2 linked regions of the Macaca mulatta genome follow. The protein of the gene in region 2 binds, or shares a complex with, the protein of the main gene of each other region. Links are inferred from orthologs where the notes say so. Each region holds a gene or a part of one and is shown on either strand. Other genes may lie near its edges. The genes, in order: CACNA1E and CACNA2D1.

Evidence for each region.
Region 1: the proteins of CACNA2D1 (region 2) and CACNA1E are in contact, whole or in part, in a cryo-EM structure (PDB 8EPM), measured with the Homo sapiens proteins. The link is inferred for Macaca mulatta from reciprocal best matches to the Homo sapiens genes CACNA2D1 and CACNA1E. Residues at the interface, in NP_001353796.1 of Homo sapiens: Thr170, Asp171, Tyr173, Ile233, Leu235, Ser261, Gly262, Ser263, Ser265, Gly266, Leu267, Lys270, Ala327, Lys328, Gly329, Ile330, Thr331, Glu366, Gln391, Asn393, Tyr394, Ile416, Gly417; in NP_001192222.1 of Homo sapiens: Gln110, Leu112, Pro113, Glu114, Asp115, Asp116, Lys117, Pro119, Arg122, Asn630, Phe631, Asn632, Asp633, Gly634, Ile1330, Gly1331, Asn1332, Val1334, His1336, Met1341, Val1343, Arg1346, Arg1393, Ser1394.

What each region holds. Positions count from the first base shown.
Region 1 is NC_133406.1:39,172,871-39,185,645, reverse strand, and holds part of CACNA1E (voltage-dependent R-type calcium channel subunit alpha-1E), read right to left. Parts: intron 11,877-12,775; coding exon 11,865-11,876; intron 10,270-11,864; coding exon 10,173-10,269; intron 7,166-10,172; coding exon 7,005-7,165; intron 6,446-7,004; coding exon 6,308-6,445; intron 5,479-6,307; coding exon 5,277-5,478; intron 4,455-5,276; coding exon 4,290-4,454; intron 3,643-4,289; coding exon 3,532-3,642; intron 1-3,531. UniProt on the Homo sapiens protein: Voltage-sensitive calcium channels (VSCC) mediate the entry of calcium ions into excitable cells.
Region 2 is NC_133408.1:137,475,304-137,488,078, reverse strand, and holds part of CACNA2D1 (voltage-dependent calcium channel subunit alpha-2/delta-1), read right to left. Parts: intron 12,077-12,775; coding exon 12,009-12,076; intron 11,612-12,008; coding exon 11,573-11,611; intron 10,009-11,572; coding exon 9,937-10,008; intron 8,691-9,936; coding exon 8,538-8,690; intron 8,436-8,537; coding exon 8,383-8,435; intron 6,815-8,382; coding exon 6,759-6,814; intron 6,342-6,758; coding exon 6,212-6,341; intron 4,170-6,211; coding exon 4,060-4,169; intron 3,693-4,059; coding exon 3,610-3,692; intron 1-3,609. UniProt on the Homo sapiens protein: The alpha-2/delta subunit of voltage-dependent calcium channels regulates calcium current density and activation/inactivation kinetics of the calcium channel. Plays an important role in excitation-contraction coupling.

The sequences.
Region 1 (12,775 bases), on a different chromosome or scaffold from region 2:
TCTCATTTGGAAAGCAGTTCCATCACTATTTGAAGACTTTATTTTTGAAACTGTCACCAAAAGCTCATATGTAAAAAAAAAGGTTTTTTCAATTTTCATTTTTAACAAATATTTATGTATTTTGAAACCTCTATGGAGGCATGATTGACAAATAAAAAGCTATCCATATTTAAGGCATATATCTTGATTGGTTTGGGGAAACGTCTATACCTGTGAAACCATCGCCATGGTCATACAGCTATAGCTTTTAAATTATCTCTATTGCATCAAGTGCCCTAGAAAATACAGTCTGACTTTCAACTATCAACAAAAGTCACACAAGTGGTAAGTGATTAAAGGTTACAGATGTGCCAAAAATCTCCTTCTAACTCCATTGAGCCTTTTCAAACCAACTACTGATTGGTAATAGGATGAATAGACTTCATGTTTCCCCTTTTTCTCTGCTGTTATACCTTTTGAGGAGATGTAACTAAGTACAAGGAAGCAGTAATAAAATGAGTGAGCTGAAGGAGATATAAAAGGCCTGGAAAATCCACCAATCAGATAACACTCCATTTAACAGGAGAGGGTGGACTATGCATCCATCTCCTAGGCTCAGATGAACACAGACCTTAGACTGTGTTCCTTTAAAAACAAACAAACAAAAAGGATACTTGAATCTCAAAAACAATTCACTTGCTTGCCCCTGGGACATATAAGGGCAGTCTGTAACACAGAAAACAGAGATTAAAATCAACAGAATGCAGAAATTCAGAGGAGACAGAGAAAGTACAAGGAGAAGAAAATTTCAAACACCTGTAATTGATATCCTCAGCAAGATCACAGGACAATGGATTATTTTATCCTATCATTGGCATAAAAAACAAGAGACTGTCAGAGCACTGCAGAAGTATACTCCATCCCAGCCTCACAACTAGCATCATCGAATTCCTACGACATGAGCCAGACACTAGGCCAGGCCTTTGGCATTCTTTCAACTCATTTATTCCTCTCATGGATCCTAGAGGCAGGGAGTGACAAATACCCCATGTTCATAGAATCCTGAATGGAAAAGTTGGCAAGAGGGGGGAAAAATACCCAATAAAGAGAGAAAAGGAGTGTGGAGAGAGAGAGAAGTTATATTTAATGAACATCCACTCAGAAGGCTATGAATATCACTTAATTGGATACATACAACAAAGTAGCTAAGGCCATAAGGTAGCTACTGTTATCCTCATTTTATGTACGAGAAAATGAGGCTGAGAGAGGCCTTATTCCAAAGCCACGTGTACTTATGGGGCATGTGGAGAGACTGAAGCACAGAGTTTCATAAATTCACTTTCCATTAGAATATTTAGTCTATCAGTGGTGGAGCTAAATTAAGTAGCTGAATTCCTCAATTCTCAGGGCTCTCCTATTGTCCCACCTGGGGTGAACTTCCTAATTCTTGGTTTTAATTCTTTCTAAATATTGGTGCATGGATCTAAGTCTCAGAGGACCAGAAGCTCTGGATTCCAGTTAACAATGCTTTACAATACAGAATAGCATGCTGTGGTATAGACTAGCACACTGTGGTGTATGGTATAGAATAGTACAGTGTAGTGTAGACTAGTAGATTATTGTGAGCTTTGAAGTTAGAAAGAACAGGGTCTGAATCCTAGCCCTACCTCTTACTAATCTTGCCAAAGTATTCAACCTTTCTGAGCTCCAGCTGATCCATAAAAAGGCAAAAATAAGAATGCTTATCTAATATATTGTTATGGAGAGAAAAACAATATGTAAAGCATTTGGTACTTGATAACCAAACAATTTTTGTTACATCTTACCCTCTTTTTCTTTTTCCTTTCCTTTTTTTTTTTTCCCATTTTGCCTTGCAATTCTATTGCCTGTCATTATGTAATCTTTAGGAAGCTATACAATTTTTCTGAACTTCAATTTCCTCATTTAAAACAACAACAATAATGGCAATTATGATAGTGACATCTGCCATGCCTATTTCAGAGTCACTGAGAAGATCTAATGAAATAGTATATATTACGATATTCTGAAGGCTTAGAGTGCTTTAACAATGTAAGGACTTATCAGAATTAGTGGTACCTTTTATAGAGTGAAAATCCCTCTAGACCTTGAACGAAAACATGGGGGTAGGGTGGGAAGGATGCAGGCTTCAAGGGCCGAATCTAGTTAAGGCTGTGAGTATATATTCAGCATTCGCCATAATTAGACACATAATGGGTCTGAAGTCACAGACAATGTCAATACCACATACAAGTAATCAATATGCACAGAAAAACTTTCCCTGTTGTGGTGCTTGTGTCTCCCTCTCGGTCAACTCCCCCTGCTCAGGGCTAGACTGTATTATAAAGGCATCTTTGTTGGTAGTAGTTTCTTTTACTTTTTTATTTCCCCAAGTCTCAAAACACTCACAAGGGAGCCAGGCAAACACAATGCAGCCAACTGCAATTGGTTCCCTTAAACTCTCCACCCAAAATGATCAAATTAATGGTTTTTCAAAGAACCCGCTGGGAGACCAAAAGCAGCCCCCGTAATCAACTCTCACAATTATTGAACCCAGCCCAGAGCCTCTGTTAAAGCTGCTACCAGACAAACACTTATTCAGATAATGAGCAAAGTTCTCCTTCTTGCAGGGAAAGCCACATACCCATGTAATTTGAAATGGTAGCTCACACCCTAAGTAAGTGTGAAACAGCTGTCACGTGGGCTTGCATCCCACTGAACTCACTGTACACACTGAAGCAAGGTGGGGGGAGGGTGGCCAACGGGATTATCTTGTTTATAGGACACTGAAGCAAAGGGCTAGGTTTTCTTAACACTCTTGAGAACAGATGCAAGAATTTGCCAAACATTATAATTATTAATAGTAGTTGAGGAGAAGAAAAAAGAGGGCTCCTAGCAGAAAAATTCATCATCGCCAAACCTCCTCAGACTTAATTCCAGAATCCTTCCCGTTGCACTACACACACACACACACACACACACACACACACACATACCTCTTAAAGGCCATTAACCTTTATAGGCATAAGTAATAAACACCTATTTTCTTTGGCAGAAACTATTCTTCATGTTACTAATGGCAGAAGGACTAATAGGTAAAATCTATTATTTGCTATGTTTGAGGCTAACAGCGATAGGTATTTTCCCATTTGTGTTATAAAGCTCTTATACCTTTTACCAGTAAATAAGCACTCGAAGTTTATTAGTCCAATCTTTGGCTTGCTCCTTCATCTACACATAAATTGTAGTTCTAGTAAAACCCAATGATGGCCGCCTCTGGACTGCTGACAGAATTTCACAGGACCAGGGCTGATAGCCCCATAAGCATGAACCTGGGATGTGGCTTCCTTTGCCCTTTCTCCCAACTTCCTCACACATCTTGTCTCTATGGCAGTTTACTGAGCAGTCAAAACGAGCCCACATCTAGGTGGGTGATTTCTGAAATAGCAGTAACCACCTCCCTTTCAACAAAGGCTGGGAAAGCACCCAACAGAAAGAGACACGCCCAGTGCTGGGAAGGATTCAGCGACATACCAAAAAGCCAAAAGCGATGACCTTCAGGACGCATTCCAGGGAAAACACCATGGTGAAGGCGATATTCAGATACTTCAGGGCCAGCTCATAGGTACAGGGAGCAGAGTAATACTGCCAGGAAGAGAAAAGAAGAGAGAAAGAATCACAGCCTTAAGGTAAGAGGGGGAATACATGTCACCGAGGTTGGCCATCTCTCATTCCTGCCCTGTAGGAGACTCTGGTACGCAGTACAGGAGGAGAGATGGACTTCGAGTGCTGGAGGGGAGAACCACATATTCTACCCAACAAAACAAAGGAAAACACAGACCCACACTCCACCAGACTTAACAGCAAAATGGCCAGTCTTCCTAGAGATGAGGGTGGGCAGAGAAGAAACATTTTCTAGAGTTAGTTACTGGAGTTAGTCATTTAGTATTAAACAGGATGAGCCTGTCTGAGTACTCCAAGGCTTCTTCAGACCCCATGATGATGGATCTCTGTCTCCTGATTTTCCCACCCTTGTCTGAAGCTGCTTCCCATTGCCATCTCAGGTCTTGGGAGCCCCTGGATGGCTACTATAGGCTGCACTGCATTTTGCTCAGTGGACCCCCAAAGCCCCAGAGGTTGGGTTGTTGAACAAAATACAGATCACAAAAGGATTCCATGATGGAAAAGTAGGTAAAGCAGTGACGGGCTGGGATGTTGGGGTGTCTTCCCACTTGCCGTGGGAGGGAACCATCGCTGGGGCTCAGCCGGCTCTTGTGCCTCTCTCCTCTCACCTTCATCATCAGCACAACGGTATTCAAGGCGATCATGGCCATAATGGTGTATTCGAAGGACGGAGACACCACAAAGTGCCACACGCGGTACTGGAAGGTGTGCCTGTTCTGCGGCATGTAGCGGGTGAGAGGTTTGGCGCTGATGGCGAAGTCGATGCACGCCCTCTGCAAGAAAGTCATGGTTATTCGCACAAGCTCAGATCCCATAGATCTAGCATGGCAGGCTCTGTTCCATGCTCAGAAGAGGAGGGCAGTGAATGGGAAAAAGGGCAGGGCTGGGCAAGTAAAGATGGCAACTGGGGTCACCTAGACAAAACTACAGACAAGGCATCACCTTGAAGGAGGTGTTGTCACGTGGAGTAGAGACTTCATGATTATTTAAAAAGTCCTTTACACAGCATGTGGCTGAGCTATTTAGGCAGGAAGCCTTCCTTGGTGCCCTTAGTCAGAAGTAAAGATCTACCTACCTATGTATTTCTACAGCACTTTCTGTCACATTTCTTACAGTCCCTAACGTTTCTAGTTCAGTTCCATTGTTAAAAAAAAAAAAAAAGGAAAGAAATTTCAAAAAAAGCTTTTGAAACCTTACAATGTGCCAGAACTATGCTTGTTGCTGGAAAAGCTGTGATAAGACACATTCCCTGCCCTTACAGCAAATACATGGCATGGAAGGTCACAGCAGCCAGATAAGCAGATATCTGATATTATCATTGTGCCACACATCTTTGTTTTCTAGACTATGCATACACAAAGGTAATGACTGCATCATAAACATCTTACACATCTTCCAGATCTCTGTGCCTCATACACAGGCCTTAAACAGTGCTTGGAAAATGTTTATTTAATGGCTGAATAATTACTTTTCTCATCTTCTCTCTATAATTCTTAATCAAGTTAAGAAAATGCAGTCCTCCTTTCTTACACTGCTGGCCCAAGAATCCTTTCTGGAGCCCCTGCTGCCTCCCACTTTAGACCAATTGTTGTTACCTCATTCTTCTCCAGGCTGCACTCCTCCATCATCTTATCCCCTTGCTCCTGGAAGGTGATGATGATGAGAGCCACAAAGATATTGACAAAGAAGAAAGGGAAGACCACAAAGTAGACCACATAAAAGATAGACATCTCCATGCGGTTGCTGCGGCTTGGGCCTCGGTCTTCCTCTGTCACATCTACAGAGTGCTGCAGAACTCTGTGGGGACAGAACGAGAGGGCACAGATGGTGGATGACAGTCTTGGCTTCATTAGGAGATATGCCACCTATTATAATATTTTATCTGACTTCTTTGACTTTGTAGATCCTCCATTAAGTTTTTTGAGTCCAAACCCAAGTGTCATATCCTGCTATCAACAATCCGCTTCTCTTTCTAGCCCCCGTTCCATCATGCACTCGACTCCTAAGCAACAGAGGGACATAATTTCATAGTTTAGGTTGCCATGTTCAATACAAAGAGACTCCCAGATTTCCATTTAACAGTTTGCTGCCAACAAGAACATGCTGCCACCAGAAAGTGGTGTCTTAGTCATTGCTAAGTCTCTGAAAAATTAGCTTTCAGCTATGGGCAGCATAAGACCTGTATTCTGTGGTCTTCTTCATGATCACAGGAAGTGCCTTTGGGTTTTGCCAACTCATTCTTAACCCTCAATCCTCAGGCTCTCAGGTACTGGGTCCCCCTGGAGGATAAATCTGTCTATAACAGCTCTCAGGAGCTCTCCTTACGGGTACAGGGCTGTTCAAAACTCATTTGTTCCACAGAAGTCAGATGGTTCCACTCAACTCCTCAATAATTGGCTAAAACATTAAGAGTTTCAAATATTTCCCTGATTTGCTCACCCGATTCTCCATTTTTGCCTGAAGAATTTTCATTCTTCCTCTTTTCTGCCTGTGTCACCTTCTGAAAACCCCTTACTTTCCCTGATACAATAACAAAGGGTGAGCCTTGTTCATCTTGAGTCAGCTTCTCAAGGCAACCGGGGGGCCTATCACAGCCACATACAAGCATGCCAACTCAGTCACTCACTGAGGCCATCCTTCCCCCGTGGAGACGGTGAAGAGGGTCAGCAGGGCCCAGATAATGTTGTCGTAGTGGAATTCATGGCGCTTCCATTCCCGGCCCTTCACCTCCATCTTGTTTTTCTCATGATCTACATAGTTGCCTCTAAAACCAGAGCAGAAATGAAAGAGGGACCCCTCACTATAGCTCATGGAAGAGTCAGCACATTCTACAGGCCACAATAATTTGGGAGTAATAATGATCACCATATATGTGTAAGGAAAAGGAATTTTATTAAAGGAACGTATTTTTACCATGGAGCAAAAATGGGATTTGGTGCCCAATGGATATGGCAGTAAATCCCAACCCTTTCACTAGTGGCTGTGTAACCTTGAGCAACTTGCTTAAGGTTAACTTTCTGAGTTTTAGCTTCCACTTGTATAATAAGCAAATAAAACTCATTTTAATAGCTCATTATAGGGGTTTAAAATGAAAACTCGAGTGTAAAATGTCATGGTACAAGACAGTTTACACTGAAGTTTTCATGTCTGACACAAAAGAGGCACTCAATAAAAAGTTTATTGATTCCCTGTTTTGTCTTTTTGCTGAAAGAAGCGTGGAGATGGGTAAGATAGAAAGGAGGGAAGGTGGACCTGTGGGGGTGGAGTGGGCTCATCAGGACATGCTTCAGCAAAATCAAGTGGGATGTGCTGGCGGCACTTACATGCACTCCTTCTCTGTGTCCTTGGAACTGTCCGTGCAATAAAAGAACTTTCCCTTGAAGAGCTGAACTGCGATGACAGCAAAGATGAACATGAAGAGCTTGTAGACAATAAGTATGTTGAAGACATTCTTCAAGGAGGTCACCACGCAGTCGAAGACAGCCTGTGGATAGAGCAAAGAGCCCTGCTGTGTGAACCCTGTGATGGTCTGCACACTTGCCTAGAGCTGAGCTGGGCCACACCACCACCACCAAGCCCCACTAAGAAGTTGTCCCAGGATAGAATTTCCTGCTAAGAGGTGAGGCGTCGCTCATGAGATTAAGGGCTGGCTTCTAAGCTGGTTATGACTGCAAAGACCTACCACCTAAAATGGGAACACATGTTCTGAAACCGAATGTAGACCCAATGCAGTAGAAATCTGATGTTATCAAGCAAGGAATGTGGTCCTCTGTGGGTTCCTGGTACGGGTACTCCACTTAGTGTGAAGCATAGAAGTGTATTGCTGGAAGGGATCTTTGAGATCATTTAGCCCATTTTAGTCTTTAAATAGCTTGTGCTTTATTTGGTGACATTCTTAGATTCGAATTATATACTGATTATGTATTATTTTCTCCTTACCTTTCTAAAAGGATCAGGTAATAATACACTATCATCTTTGTTCATTTCACTAATATTTCATAGCAAGTTCATACATTTGTGATTATATTCAGTATTTCACGTAAATGTTCTCTAGTTATGGTGGCTGCATTGGGGATGAAGACCAATAGAAGGAAAGTGGGAAAGACCAATACACACCTTCTGTTAGAGATGGCGAGACTGGGTAGATAGAACCAGGGACTTACACTTCAGTTAAAAGGCGACAGACCTCCAGTGACCTCCACTCTATGCCCTAAGCTGTGAGGAGTTACATGGGAATTCAACACATTTCAGGCCATTTTTAGGTTATTTTCTAGGTTTTAGGTTTAGCTCACAGGATAATCTAGCCCCACAGTGGTGCTGCATTTGTGCAGTTGCTTCTCTGCAGCACTGGGTGAAGCACTGCTGGTTTAATTAGTTCAACACTGCGGGGAATGTGAGTGACAGGCAGCCTTGTGGAATCGTCAGAGCCACCTACGTCTCCCTCAGGTTATGGAGCTGCAGAGCGAGGAACTAGCCCTTTCTAATTTAACAGAATTAAGCAAGGTTGCAGGGTGCTTTCTCTGGCCTATTAACTAATCTCATCAAGCTTGTCTGCACTCTCCTTGAGGCCCACTGAATCCTGCCCTGCAGGATCACTGACAACACTGATAAGGGTCAGGGCCCCAGGCAGCACACTGTGGGGTGTGAGGCACAACCCAATGAGTATTTATGGGCAGGTGCTGAACTGGGCCATTATTGGGCAGGAAGGTAGTAATAAACAGCTGACATTGTGCAAGTGCCTCCTCCAGGGGCAAAGCGGGGTAGCCAGGGAGGACAGCAGTCGGCCAGGCCACTTCCTTGGGAGCATGGGTGTCTCTCTCTGGGAACCCATGCGGTGGGCCAGGGCCCCTGGGCTCTGAAACGTAGCCAGGTTTCAGTCACATCAGGGCCTCTCAGAAGTGACTTTTCTTCTGTTTCATGAACCTAGTTAGTTTTGCCACCTCTCTGCAGAGCCAAATGGCTGAAAGGGAAGCAGTGCTATGAGGCCTGAAGGAGGTTTGGGGTCGGGGTGGGCAAAGAGTATCAGAGGTGATGAGAATCCAGTAGGAAGTGGGAATTGAGAAGCAAGGGAGAGTCAAATGCACAAGAGCCCTCCCCAAGCTCTGTCCCCTGTGGCAGGCTTGGGAGAGCAGGCCCAGGCATTCCAGAGGAACTGTTGAGTTTTCTAACAGGGACCACTCACATCAGTTCATTTTCTCCACACCACAGATGTATGAGTTACAAGGTGTCCTCATTTCCCATGTGAAAGAAAGTCAAAGAATAAGTAATTTGCCCTAGGTCATATAGCTCCTAAGTCCTAGAGCTGAGCCTGGCACTCACGTGGGATCTTTTTAATGTTGACAAGGGTTCTCAAACTACACTATATTCTAAGAGTCACCTGGGAAGCCGGTTTAAGAGGCGCACTCTAAGCCCCTCCCACAGGGATTCTGGCTCTGTTGTGTTGTGGCCAGCAATCTGGATTTTAAGGAGTACCCAGGTGATCCTGATGCAGGTGGCCTATGACCCACACCTTGAGAAGCACTGCATGATTCCATGCGATGCAGAAGTTAGGGAATTGAGTCTGCTTGCTGGAAAGTATTCTGGTGTAGCCCCTGAAGATGGGGCTTGGCTGGCTGTGTGGACTGAGCAGCAGAAAGACTTTGGGGCTGGAAACCAGGAGCTCTGTTCCTCTCCCTGGCAGTGACTTGCTGACATTCATAGGAATTCAGGGAGAAAGAACTTTCCTCCCATGGAGACTCAGCTTCTATTAACAGCAAAGTATGTGGGGTGGGGCAGGTGGGTTCAACAGGCTAGCAGACTTGTGTAATAGAGCGCATGATGCTTTCCTGAGAGGCAGGAAGGCTCATGGAAAGTGGAGCCCCAGGCGAGTTGAGCAGGTGGAGTATTAGACAAGGAGAAATCTGGGTAAGATACCTAGTAAAAATCCTGGCAATAGGAAGAACTTAATTCATGTCAGCTCACTTCCCCATTTCTTCTCTGCCTCTGCCAAAAATGGACTGCATGTCCTTGGACAAGTTACTGACCTATTTGTGCCTCAAAATTATAAAGGGTGGGGCCAGAAGAGCCTCTTCTCCTCTAGAGCTGTAAGAAAAAGAAAATGTCCCAGGATACTCGGCCTTAAAAACTACGCAGACCACAACACACAGAGGGGTCCCGTTGCGTCCATTCTGGTGTTCTGGGTCTGCACTGGGGACATAGGAGGCCCCAGGACAAAGCCACACAGGATTCCCTCTTGGATGACATATCACACTGGAGAGAAGATACCACCTGGGTCTGAACTAAAAGGAAAAGCTTTCTTACAGATTTCTTGGGATGTTGGCTATTTTCCTTTGAAACTAAGACCTTTAGCTCAGACAGATGAAAAGAACTTCAATATCCGTGTGAGAAAAAGGAATATTCCCAGAACAAATTCTCCAAAGGCAGGCCAGCCATGGCTAAAGAGAGAAGACGGGAGAAGGGGATTTGATGGGAACAAACTCTGTAAACACTACCTTGAGCTTGGGCAAGCGCTTGATGGTTTTCAGTGGCCTTAGAACTCGGAGCACCCGCAGAGACTTGATGGTCTTGATGTCCCGTCCTTTGTTGGTTCTGCAGGGGAGAGGCCCCCAGGGAATCATATGGAATGGGGGAGAAATAAAAATGACATTCAAACTATGGCATTAGCAACAACAGGCTAAAAGGGGAGAGATGTATGGGAGAGATGGAGGCAAGAAGCCAGAAACTTGAGTCAGATTTGACTCCAGGGACATCCTACGAAAAACGCTTCAGGAATATTCTCAAATCACTTCCCAGTGTGCACACATGAACACACATCCACATGCATAAACACCCACACATGCACATACACACTCATATATACACACACAGAGGAACACATAGGCACACAGAAGCATCCATGCACATACGTTAATAAACACTTCCTTCCCTAACTACCAGTCTAATGCTGCTGATTACCACCCTGGCACAATGAAAACAGAAGACACATCAACTAGGGAATGTGAGCAGTAGCCCACTTCAGATCCCCACTGTGCCAAATCCAGTGCTTGTTAAATGATAGGTTCTCAAATGATATTCGCTGAATTGATGAACCCACAGTTGAGAGCAAGCCTCATCAGGGCACTTGACTTAATCTAGGTTTGTCACCACTGCACAGTTCATTAGTGCAGGAGAGAGCAAGGTGAGGCAGGGTGGTGGCAGACATGACACTCTCGCTGGGCCACGTGTTCCAGAGAAAGCATGTCATGCAGGCTTCTAGCCAGGACCTTGGCTCACACTGCAGTACCTCTGTGTGGCTGGTTTTTCCCGCAGTACCTTCCATTGCAGACGGTGTGCACCTAGCACAGGCTGCAGAGAGTCACTGGGCTGGGGGAGGCCCAAACTGCAGGCCCGGCCTACCTTTATCCTGGCCCTACAGCTAATGACCCTCCCTATTCAGCCTCTTGGAAATGTTTACTCCTAATAGTGACAGTATGTTTCTCTTTTTATTTTTAGGAATAAAATGAACAATAAACTTGCATTTCTCTTTCTTCCCTGTTCTTCCCCTGAGACCTTTGCATTGAATTCAAATAATTATCGTTTATAAAACACACAAATGGTGGAAAACAAGACTCCAAATAGTGGAGTAAGGCTCTGTCTCTTTCTTCATGTTGACCCAGATTACTCTTACACCAACAGTCTGAGGAAATGGGGTGCAGAACATCAGATGGGAACTGCAAGGGCTTTCTTTCACAGAAGCGAGGCCAAAAGATATTTAATTGAGTTCAAGGAATGCTGACTTTGCCCAGAATGTTTATTTTAATACTCTCTTAATGATTACAGGCCATGACCTACAAGTCACTTTTATTCAGTCCTAGATCTGAATAAAAATAATCCAAAAGCATTGCATTCATATGGTCTTTAACATCCAGAGGCTTTGGTATATTTTACAAACTATTTCACCGCATTAGGCTCATCTGTCTACATACCTAAAAGAGGCAACATATGAGCCTAATACATATCCACACCAACAAGAATGATCATTTCCCAAGAAGGCTTGGTGACTCCTGATTTTGGTCTCTGGGATATAAATAAAAGCTGATCACTCTTTTCTCAATGCATGAGCCCCTCTCCTCCCAACCATACTTTCTTGCTCCTCCAACTCATTCCTTGTATCTTTTACTTCAAAGATAATTGAACATATTTACCCCAAAGCGTTCCTATGGAGGATCCAATCAGAGAGCAGTAGAAAATCAAAATAAAACAAAAGTGGGGTTGGGGTAGAGAGAAGAAAGACAGTCAGAACACTTCAGGGAGAAAAGAGAACCTTACAACGATAGGGAATCAGAGCAGCACAGGCCCAAGGGACCCCACCCACAGCCTTGGCACTTAGAGTGTCCACACCTTTGTGAAAGGAAGGGCCAGCACACCATTTGCTCCCTGGCCACTGTCCCAGCCTGCAGGGGCGAAGGCCCTCTGCCAGCACAAGTGACAATTCTACATAGGCTTCTGGGTATTGTGCATTATTTCCATGGAGTCTGGTTTAACTGCAGTTTTCTAAGTGCAGGCGTTTACTTTCATTTCTTGTGTAGTCTTCAGACAAACTCTGTTTCCAGTGAATTTATAAGAAACCAGGCTGGAGGAACTATGCCCACTCCGGGCCAGAAATTCTCTCACACACTGGCATGGTTATGCTTATAAAGGGTTTCATCTAAAGAGGGACACGCAACCACTCAGAGAGAGACACACTGATGTCTCTTAGAAGCTCAGAGGAGCATCACTGTTAAACTAACCTGAAATAAGGGAGGGAGGCATTTGTCTGTCAAGATCATGATGTCACACCAAAGTTTGCCTTTTGATAAATTAAATGACCACCTGTCCATTGTGAGCATACTATGCAGTTTGAAGATGAAAAATCATCCCAGTTCTATTGGTGAGGCATTTAAAATAAGTAAGGGCATAAATATCTTCAAGATAGAAGTAATGACAACTTCTAAATTTTTTGAATATTTTATTGATTCTGGGCCAGACTCTGTGCTAAGCAATTTTAGTGCAAATCTTTATTTAAACCTCCTAACTTTAGCACATAGGAATCACTATCCCCATTTCACAGAAGAGA
Region 2 (12,775 bases):
AAGCTTTATGAAGACTTAAGTCACACACAAGCAAAAAAGATAAGCAAATGAAAAAGCTAACATTTATTAATCAAAGAAGTAAAGCAAGTCAATAATTGTCCATTGAGAAATTTATTTTATGTAAACCCAATTTATAAAGCATATTATCCGGTACACAAATATCTAGTTGAGTCCATGGTGATACATAATTATTTCCATGATAGATTTATAATGTATCATAATAGGAAAATGTTATTTTGTGTGTGTGGGGGGGGGTTCTTAGGTTAAAAAAAATTTACATTCACTGTTGCTATAGGATTTTTTTTTTTTTTTTTTTTTTTTTTTTGGAGACGGAGTCTAGCTCTGTGATCCAGGCTGGACTGCAGTGGCACAATCTCGGCTCACTGCAACTTCCACCTCTCAGGCTCAAGCAATTTTCCTGCCTCAGCCTCCAGAGTAGCTGGGACTACAGGTGCGTGCCACCAGGCCCAGCTACTGTTTGAATTTTAGCAGAGATGGGGTTTCACCAGGTTGCCCAGGCTGGTCTCAACTGCTGACCTCAGGTCCACCTCGGCCTCCCAAAGTGATGGGATTACAGGCGTGAACCACTGCGACCAGCCATTGCTATAGGTTTTTAAGAGAAAGGTAAAAAGAGAGCTGGCCTACTCAAGACCAATACTTATATATTTTTTAGTGTAATTGATAACCTATAAATCTTACCTAAAAATTCTATGATTGAGAGAAGTAAGCTTTTGAATGAAGGGAAAATAAGGACAATTATGGAAACATATTTGGTAACACTTTTCTTGTGTAATCGTTGACTACCTATGAACTTCTTTAAGGAATCAATAATATTTCAAATAGTTGCATACATATCAATTTTTAAAATGTTTATATGAAGATATTTAATTTTAGTATTTTAATTATTACAGTAATGTTTCCTTTGCTTGGAGTCTTTTGCCATGAAAACCATTCTTTTATTATCCCAGAAGACAAGTGGTTATTTTCTGAGACTCCCTCTGCTATTCTACTCCCCACCCTCTACCACCCCTGCCTGTGAATTCACTCCATTCATAGTAATGGCCACATCTCCATCTAGTGGCTTCCTAATCAATGACTACCTGGAAACCGATGACAAACACAACAAACGTGTGTGCTCTAGTAACACAATCATGATGATTCCAGAGCATTAGAAAATAAATTGCAAAACAGTAAATGAAGAACTAAACGCAAATGCAAGCGCCGAAACCTCCCGTTAGTAGTACTGAATACAGAACTCAGAAATTTCTTCAAAGGTTAATAATTTTGGGCTAGATAATGTAATATTAAATAAAATGAACTTAGAAACTGGAAGCACTTATTCTAAAATATTTCAATATTTTGAGGGTAAAAATCTAAAAAGTTATTTAAGTCAGATTTATTTAAGTAGAAAAATCTGAAAGGAATTAAATTTGCGTTAGCATCTTTTGTAAATAAACTGAGATAACCACCTCTAAAAATTGTCATTAGATAGTTCTCATATCATGAAGCATGTATATTTGTCTCTGCAATGACAATTTTTATACAAAAACTTTATGAAAAAAATCATTTTTACATAAATATTGAAAACTAATATGTTTCATTTAGGATTAGAAATTTACATGCCATTTGAAATCAGCTATTTCCAAAACAACATTGGTCCTGAGATTTTAATAACCTAGTTTCAGGAACATTAATATCATGGATTTAGGGATATGGGTGACTTTCTAAAATTTCAAGCCAAAAACAAAAAGAAAAATTAGGGAAAGTGACTGACCATCCACACCACATGAAAACTTGCAGTAAAATGAAGATAGGAGCTGACATCATGGTACAGGCACCACTCGTTGTGCATTTAAGTTGATCCTATTAATAACGGGCAAAGTAGCAAGTACAGGAAAAGGAAAGAAAACACAGAAAAGAAGACATACAAGATGAGATTTCATGCAATTTGCTGGCAGTTAACGTGAGTCTCCATCCAGAGCAGATTCACAGTGACCATTGCAAATAAGCATTACCAAAATACTCCACTGCTAAAGAAACACAAGATATTATTAGCATACCAAGCTACTGAGCAACAGTTGTACTTTCACACACAACCCGTTTATAGGAGCTTCAATTGCTGAACATTTTTGTCTTGGTCAAATCTTTTTAATGCCTTGATCATAAGATAGAGCCTCCTAGAATAATATTTTGGGCAAGAGGGTTTTTATGTCATTTTTTCAAGTTCATCTGAATATTCCTACTGTCAAAAAACTGGTGGCAAATAGTTGATGAGTGAAGCTTCTCTAACGAGTGACATGACCCTTGGCGCTTCATAAAATATTCTTTGGGAAATAATTTTACATGGGCAACTTGCTGAAGGTGTAGTAGGCAGAATAACATGAGTCCTCCTATCTGGACTTTAAATGTCTTAAGGAAAAAAAAAAAAAAAAAAAACCCTTAGTGGCAATGTTGAAATACTTTCCCTAGCAAGGATCAATAATCCCTCACAGAGATAACTGGGATTGACTGGCTAATACATCTTGAATTTATCACTGATTTTATTTCTTTCTTTGCTCCATTTTTAATTTATATTATCTGTGAAATGTTTTATCCTTTCTGGGACAAATGCAGCTATGTATTTGAGTAGGTAAACCTCTTCTAAATAACTCTTAAAAATGCACATTAATCAATAGATGTTCTGACCTATTTTTAGAATAAACAATTTATGAGATAATGCATTACACGTTTGGATGCTCATTGGTGTGTGCAAGCCACTTCATGCAGTGGCACACCTGGAAGAATCAGAATTGGGAAGTATCGTATTTAAAATTAGTTAAAAAGAGGTGGACAGAGATTTTTATGTGGACTTCATCTTTGAGAATAGATTAGTATTTCTAAAGCATAAAGCTAATGTATTACATACTGATGATGTATTACCTACCTTGTACATAATCAATACACAATAAGTCAGAATAGTATTTATTAGGGAAAGATAGATGAACTATAGGAAACGTAGTAAGCCATCTTTAAGTGACATATATTTAATATGATTTGTAATATTTTATCAAACTAACCCTGTGTAATTGACCTGGTCTAATTTCAAACACCAGAAAAAGAAATTAAATAATACAAGTCTAATATGTGATAGAATCAGAAACCATCCAAAAGAAACCAGAACTCCATAATAATAAGACAATGGCTGTATAACAGGTTTTTCAATTCACTGAAGACGAATATAACTAATAAAAATGTAATAAACTTAATTTTTATATCTTCAGGATTGGAATATAAATAGAGGCAACAAATATATCATAATTAACATTTACTATGAGTTAATTATTTATTAATCTTGAAAATCAGATTTATGACCTTGGATTATTAGTCAATTGATTGGAATTGTGTTTGAAAGCACAATTTCTGTGGGAAGGACATACAAAAGAAGCAACTGTTAAGTTTATGCTAACCATGAAAACTACTGAAATGAAAAAAATCTACCAGCAAGTATGTCATGTTAATGAGAAAAACTATGGTTAAGACATTATGTTTGAGTTAAATTGTCTCCTTGAATTCTTGTGGCCAGTGAGCATTAATTTATAGTATTTCAATCCAGTAGAAGCGTGATCTTACCAAGACATTGTTATCAAAGCAGACATCAGGCCCTTTTCGGTATCTGGGTTGCTTAACCATGTCACAAGGATTTGGACCATCAGCTAAAGAGGCTTGTTAAGGAATCTCTTGTTAGTTTTTTTTCCACATGACTAAAAATAAATACAATGCAATGTATTTCCCAAAACATGTAAGAGATAACTTATACATCATTACTCTCATCCAACACAATTCAAGTACATTGGGATTTAAAGAACTAAATTGTGAATTATCCTTTTCTGGGGCATGTGTAGCATAATTATTCTTGACATTCCAACCAAATTTTGAGTGAGGAATCCATTCTGCCTTTGCGAGGTGATCAGAGCAGTCTAATATTTTTCCTCTTTATGAGCATAAACAATGTGACAAGATTCAAAATGCATTATTTTAAGATGGTTTTCCTTTCCAGATAGCTCTGATGTCAAAGGATACAAGTCTGTTCTGCTTGTATGAGCAGTCGTGTGTCACAGGGACATGTCCCTTTGCTCTCAACCATTATGAATATTAAGTTGGTGTTCATAAGCTTTTCGCCATGAAAGATTCTGCAAAATATGATATCACAGAAAATGAGTATCTTTGTCAAAATAAATGGAAATATTTCAAAGATTCTTACATATTAAAATGAAAGACAAAATACGACATTTGAAACATAAACCATTCCAAGCACAACAGGAGTATGATTTTAGAAGGAAAAAAAGTTTCATTTATTAGTGTGAAAATATTACCTATGTCAAATGAATAAAAAATTGCAATAGATGTTTTATGTGTGACCATTTTAAGTATTAGTTCTCATTGCAAAATAAGCACTTTTTAGTTGTTGATGCACATAGAAAAATTTCTTTACACTTACAAATAATTGTGATACTTATCACTGAAAATATGCCAAAGTTGCCTTATTTTACAGATAACACAACAGGGAATACAAAAATGTCTAGGCATCTTGCCCAAACTAAGGGCAGAGAAAAGTCTGGAACAGTGCTATTAAGCAAAGTTTCTGTGAAGATGGAAAAGTTTTTTGCACTGTCCAGTATGGTAAATACTAACCACTCAAGGGGTATTGGGCACTTAAAATGTGACAAGTGTGACTGAGGCACAAAAATTTAATTTTAATAACTGTAATTGAAATTTCGATGGCCACCTATGGGTGGTAACTACTGCATTGGACAACACAGACATGGACAGAATCAAAGGTTTTGAATTCTATCCCCTGTTTTGTCCACACCTTAAGCTGCTCTTACTTTAGTAACCAACACAGAAAATGTAAATATATATCACTAAAAAAGTAATTTCTTCATCATTATACATTTTGCAGAAAAGTGGGATTTTCTTTTTGCTCTGTTAAGCTTTGATTTCCATAAAACAAATCAAAAGGAAAGTATGATTCAATTTAATGTCTTGGTTATATTGACCTTCACTTTACAATTTAACTTACTTCTTTAAGCACACGTTGCTCTTGCTGGATGTCAATTAATAAAAGGCCAATGACTGTGAAACTCTGATGTATCCAATAAACATGCCACAATTCCATTTCCTGAGGTCCATAGCCTGATACGCTAATCTCCTCTAAACAAGATAGTCTGCTTTTTTGTGAGTTCATGCTTGACTCCTCCTCCCCTTTCTTCTCCTCTTCATATATTCTACCTCCTCCTTGGACATAGAGGTATGCTAGAGAAAGTCATAAAACATACCACGTCTACTAAAAATTCATGAGAGGTTGCTTAGCCCCTCTTGCAAAAAATTTTTTAAACTATTCTGGCACTTTCATAATCTCAGATTACCTCACCTCCTCCTATTTCTTCTTCTGCTATGGTAACATTTCTTCTAAAATAACCTGCCCTCCACCTCTAAAAACAAAGTGTCTCTACTCTGTGCTTTGTAAGCTGTGACTTGCTGCTCTCTTCTCAGGAATCTTGTGGCATTAATTATTACTTTCCCCTCAAAATCCCCATCTTGCCTTTCTCCTCTATCCTCATTACAATAAAATTAAATTCTCCATCTCTTCCCAACATTTTAAAAGATATTTTATGGATACTGACTAAACATTAACCATGACCTAAGAAAATTGCATTTTTTCCCAGTTCCTTCAAATTCAAATAAAGATAACATTCAGTTCTTCAAGTCAGAGAAGACTAGAAGTAAAAACAAAACAAAACAAGACTTTTTTTTGTAAATCTGTTTAGTTACCATATAGAAAAATAATTCATATTTGGCTTAGAATTATTTAGAATTACTAATATATTTAATTTTATAACTTTATATTAGAAATTTTTAATATGGGTTATTTTAGGAAAAAAGTTAAAAAATATCAAATTTCTTTGTGTTCTGCCTAAAGAGAAAGTAATTATCTTGATCATGTAATTATTATTATAGTTGAAGAAATAACAGCTTATCAATGTTAGAATTTTAAAAATTATAAATTTTAAAAGCCTACAGAGAAACTAAAGATCTCTGACATTTTCAACTTAAAACAATTACTCACATCTCTGGCTCCAACACAATTTTCAGTTTTTTCTGTAATGATTATAACAGTATATACAATTTCTTAATGAAATAGGACGACTCCAGAAATAAAGAAAGAAATTACCTGGAACAGTTTCCACAGTCTAATACACCACTGAATGATTTACTATCGTTATCGAAGAAATACTGGGTTTGTTCAGTAATGCAGCTCTGCTTTGACAGGGAGGCTGTAAAGTCATCATCCTCCATCTCAACTTGGGTGGGGAGAGGGGGGTAAAAACAAAGAACACCATTAGAAGGGGCCACTGTAGTCAGTCCCCTGGAGTCTTCACTTCTCACAGAGCAAAATAAATGTCTAAGACCAGGAGGCCTGGACTGGCTTGTTTACTGCTGTGTAATATCGTGGCAGCCCGTAATAGATGCCTGATAAATATCAATAGAATAAATTAATTTAAATACATGATGGCTATGAGATCAAGGCCAATGTGACCTAAGTAATTTCTAAGACATTAGGAAAGGTTGGACAAAAAGTTTCTAGATCTAAAATTATGAGATGGGTGATCTGTTTTCTCTTTCTCACACAAATATTCTCTGAATTTGCTGAACTCAAGCATATCCCCCCAAATAATTTTTATCGTTATGACAGTGACAAGGTCTGAGCATTTACATACCTGCCTCAAGGAGTCGTGGAAAGGTCAAACTCAAGAGAAACTGCTGTAGAATAGACCTGAGTTTTTCAAAAAAAAAATAATAATAAAAATCTAGGGAAAAATGTGTTTTTACATGCACACATACACATACCGTTTCCCTTTATCTTTTTGGGAAGGAAAGTCTAGGAGTGTTTTTATTTAAGTATTTTTAAAATTATATAACACATTGTAACCTTTCTTGAATGTGTCAAGTCATGAAATCAGAAGTATTCAGATCTTGTTCTGGACCAAGTGAGACACAGTGTGTTAAGAAGCCTAATAGGCAATGTTATCAAGCAGAAGTGTTCACTCTAAGGAGAATGTCAGTGTTTCAGCGCATAGGTTTTTACATTCATTACATCTCCTTATTTTAGCTTTTAAAACCATTTGTTTTTTGAATTCCCCCCGCCCCCAACAAAGAAACAACACTGTTTATACCATGGGTTTGAATTTGTTAACTATTTACTTTGTAATACAGAAAATATTTGTAAATATGTAATGTAACTTTCATGAAACAAAATATACATATTATATAGAGAGATATGGCACATTTCAGTTTTATAGTAACTGACAACTGAGCCAAATTTCTAGAACTGAATTTAGTTTAAAACAAGTGGGGGTGGGAGGGGATATAGGATAAAGAAAGTATTTCAGGGTCATGATGAAATTTTAAAAGCCTACTGAAATTAATATATAAAATCACATCAGAAAATACCATTTTTTCAGAATAAAACAGAATTTTCTAAATCTTTCAAATTATCTCAAAATTTTAAAATCGTAAAATCTTCTTTGCTGCTTTAATGATATCATCACTTAATTTTAGCTGGCAAACCTCAACATCAAATGAATATTGTACATTAATCTATGTGGAATAGGGCTAACAATACAGTGTGATGATACCAAAAAAAAATAAATAAATAAAAATTAGAGGGGAGAGAAGGAAGAGGGAGATCATGGATCCCAGACGTAACAGGCTTAGTTACAACTAAACAATAAGAAATGTGATCTTCCAGACTTTCCACAGTGCCACAATTGACCATTTGAATGTCTTATTTTCATAGGTTGTATGGTCTACAGGTGAGGGATGGGGGAGGTTTGGAAGGTAGAATCGGTGAAAAGAAACAATTAGATCCATTTCAGCAACATGATGCCCCTAAAACGATACCAGTACTTGTATCAATAGTAAAGAGGTAGAAGGTTGCCATCATGCCATGAATTTGATGCATGCAGACATCCAACTTGGATACTAAAGACAATTAAATTGTAACTTCTTACAGATCAATACACCTAAAATTGGTGTAATACTTTAAAAATACTTAATACAAATGAAAAGAATTTCAATAGATGTGTAGAGGAAAGAAGACTCTAAAGAGGTTGAAGTTTACATCCACATAACATTGTTTTCATATGAGAAACTGAATAATGGTAATTTTATAGTGCTCACTTAGGAAAAAATATCACTATTACCAATAAGTGATGCAGAGAATGAAAAAACCTTAACTCCCTTAATAAAAAATTTGAGTGTCCCCTAAATCCATATTTTCATCAGATGCTTTTCTATTTTACGACTTCTTTCATTACCAATAAAACTAAAATTTTGACCTACCAGGCAGCAGCAGTGGCCCACCAGCCAATTTGTAATATGTCTGCTATTGATGGCTATAAAATAAAATAATAAAGTCATTTCAGTAGTCTACTTGATACTGAGGACACTTGAGTATCCTCTTGAGAAGAATTGATTAGACTGTGGATATTACTGACCACATATGCTGAGCGATGTCCTGCTCCTTGTTTTGGTGCAGCACCAGGCTCGCATACTGACTGATAATCATAAGATTTGTTAAAAGCATAAACTGATATATTAACCAGGTGTCTCATCAAGCTGGGATCAATCTCTCCAAAAAATCTTCCAATCTGGTGAAGAAAAAAATCATAAAGCAATGTGTACTTAAAATGTAAGTCAAAAATGAACATTGGAATCACCACTACAGTGAAAAGAAATAATACAGAGAAACTGAACTACAACTGAGGAGCTTAAAAACAAAAGCAAATGAGAAACTGTATATGACACTGTGAACAAATTAAAATGAGAGTAAGTGTTCTCATTACTCAGTGGGGCTGTGTGATGTTTTATTTGTGGAAGGAATGGACACACATTACTAAGCACTAAATCACAATCAAATGTCTCCCAGATGAATAAAACAGGGGTGGGGAATGAAGAGGTGTAAGTCAAAGGGTACAAAGAAGCAGTTATGTAGAATGCATCAGCCTAGAGATTCAATATACAACAGAGGACTGTAGTTAATAATACTGTTTTGTCTACCAGAAATTTGATGAGAGTAGATTTTAAGTCTTCTTACCATACTGCAAAAAAGGTTAACAACCTGAGATGATGGATATGTTAATTGGCTTGACTTCAGTAATCACTTAACTATGCAAATCGAAACATTTTGTTGTACATCTTAAACATATACAATAAAAAAAAAAGATCAAATGCCCCCCTGGGGAATGGAAAAGTAGCATAAATGAGAGAGCAGGCTGGCCAAGAAAAAGAACTTGTAGGGACTGTGATGAACTGGAACAAGTCCCATCTAAAGGGGCAATCACGAGTTAATCAGCTTCAGCCCATAAACACTGTCATCCAGAAAACAAAAAAAGCCCAGTGTTGAGATCTCTTTTGCTTTTTCCAAAAAAGAGAAGCCAGGAATATAGATTCAGAAGCGAAATTAGTTGGCATCGAATTCAAATTTGTTAAAAATCTTGTATGAGGTAAATAGCCTATGTGCTGCTAATTTGCAGATTTGAGACTAGAAATCACATCAGTTTTAACCAGCTATATATTAAATTAGATATCATCAACTGACAAATTTTGAAGTGAAAATTTTCTAAATATCTGAAAGATTAAAAAGGTCATATCATGCTAAAATTCTGAACTGTATGTTTTAATGATACCAGTACTAAAATGTAAAATCAAATAACATAAAAGCTAGACTTAGCACGCCTTTCTTAATGGTTTACATAATATTAAGCATTTTACAAATTATTTTATGATAGAAACAAAACATCTCATCAATTTCTAAAACACTGAAAGAGGTTTTGTAATGTTGATCAGGGAAACACACTTTGGAAAGCCTAATTCTCTCTTATTTCAGGCACATACCTGATTAGTATAATCATCATGATTTGCCATCAAAAGAAACCCACCGTCATCCAGAATTACACAATCCATTACCTACCAAAATAAAATGAACAGTTAACACATTTTTAGAAAGGTTTGGAGGTTGTATTGTCTTTACCCCATTATACGTACATGATTAGAGCAATAAAAAATAGAAAATTTTAAATGACTATCTTCTCTTGAACGTATATGTTCATGAAATTCTGGTGAAATAAAGGCCTGCATTGATTTATATCAAACCATCACGCTTGATAATCCAACACCAACCATCCATTTGAGACTGTCAATTCAGTCTGAACAAATCATAAAAGCAAATCCGAAATAATCTTTTTACCACTTTCGTGTCATCTAAATGATCCAGAAAAGTGGATAATTATTTAATAATGAATAACTGATTTAAACACATACTTAGGATTTCAACAAAAAGATATTTTAAAAAATATCATTTTAGTTATCCTGTTTCACAGACTTAAAACACGTCAGTACTGTAAGACTATAATTATTTCATATTTTCAGATTGAAAATATGTAGTTGGATAATTGGAGATTTAAAAGCAAAATGCAAAACAAAAAATGTCCATGGTTAAGAAAATACTTAATTCACCCTGAAACATAGGATAAATTCCTACCTAGTTTAAAACATGTTTTAATGTATGAAAATCAATATAATTTGTATTTAATAAAATCACAAATAAAAACATTGTTTTCAAAGTTGAGGATGTAATGCATTGCATTTTCCTAATGTTGAAGCAGCTTATTACTAAATTTTTTGCTCTTAAAACAGCTACTGCATAGTCTATGTCAAATAGATAAGTTACAAAAATCATTGAAATTATTTGCTCATAATTCCACACGAGTGGGAGTGATAAAGATGATATAAACCGCCTGTTTCCCTTGGAGATATGCAGACACACATAAGAGGACTGGAAGAAAATATCGTTTCATCATTGTTACTCAATTTTTAGAATTAGAGCATCTTCAACTTTTGAAGAAAGTTCACATTTCCTTTTCCAATTTCTCAAACAGATGTGAAAGTAATACAAGACAACTTAAAACTCAATCCATGTAACTAGAACTTTATAATAAACTGAAATACTTCTGGGTTTAGTTAAAAAAAATTTTCCTATAACTATATAATACACTGTGAACAAATTTAGAGAAAGTGTGATAGGTGAGAGAAAACTGCATTGATAACGAATAGAGATGCTTTGGTTAGAAACTTCCTATCCAGAAATAGAGCTAAACATAAATATGTGCAAAAGAATGTAACACCGTTGAGACCGAAGAGAACCATCACATTGACATGACTACTTTTTTAACCTTCCAAGGACATATACATATTTTTAAAAATTCAAGCATTTCACGTTCAAAATCAAAAGCATATAAATTCAAATGAAGCCACTGCACTCCAGCCCGGGCGACAGAGCGAGACTCCGTCTCAAAAAAAAAAAAAAAAAAAAAAAAAAAAAAATTCAAATGAATATATTATTTCACATTTCCGTAGAATTTTTTAGCCTTTGATTAAAAATTCCTGCATATTTTTTGTCATCATTCTAGTCTTAGCAAGAGTAACACAGGGAAATATTGTACTCAAAAGTGATTTTAAACAGTTTTCTTACATCACTGTTTCTTTTGCAGTCACAAACTGGACCAGCACACTGAAAGACAAAAAACCGATTATTACATTTTTTTAGCAGTTGTATTTTAATTACATTATTACTATGTTATAATTAGAAATTCTAGAATAATTTATCCAGGAGAAAAATGAGATTAAACAGTCTAGTCCATAAGAAACAGAAGTTTTATCTTTAAAATTAGAAAATGTCAATCAATATATAAACTAGCATTGCATGTTGTAACCTTGAAATACTTTTATTACATATTGACTAATTTAAACAAAAAGCTTTGAAAAAATAGGAATTCAGAATTCTGCTTCAGTGTAGTGGTACTGAGAACGTATTTGCCTTATGTTTATTTGTATAAAGACCTTATTTTTTTTCTACTGAATTTTGAAAACATTAAATATATCATAAGAATTTTTTTAAACTATCTTACCGGATCTCTGATTGAGGTTTTGGTGAAATTCTCTATCCAGGAATTTACATCGATTTTAATTCCAACAACTGGAAAATTAATTTGAATTAATTCAAAGGCATAATTACCTGTAATACAACCTTTGCAATATGACAGTTTAATTATTTTGATAGCAAGTATCAGATTATAGTTTATTACAGAAGTTTTAGTCTTTTGTTCTTAAGAAATAATGCTAATAGCTCTTAAACTATTACATAAATTGTAATTTATATTCACAAAGAGTGTATTCATTAGCCACAACCTGACCAATTAACTAATACAATAAGCTAAATAAAAAACATTAGTGTCAGGAGAGCCTCATAAACTTGAGGTCATTCAAATGGTATATTTTAAGAGGTTTCCCTAACTCCACCAGTGTTTGCAGTAGGTGCTTAATAAATCTTTGCTGAAAGAGTGAACAGATGAATGGATGAGTAGGTGGGTTAGTAGGAGAGTGGGTGAATAAATGAATGGCTGAGAGAATAACTGATTTAGTAACTAAATGAGCAATTGAGTGAATGAAGGAATAGGTGGATGAGTTAGTAAGTGATGGAGTGAATTAATGTAATAGATCCACTGATGGGGTAAAGCTGCCCTCAGGAGAAGGAAGGCTCAAAATACTCTCCTTTATAACTTCAAACACTGAATCATACAATAAAAAAAACTAATAGCTTTAACCTTATTGTATGCACTCCCTCTAGCCCACTTCCGATCCTCACTGATGCTCACTTCTACTTTGTTTGTTTACT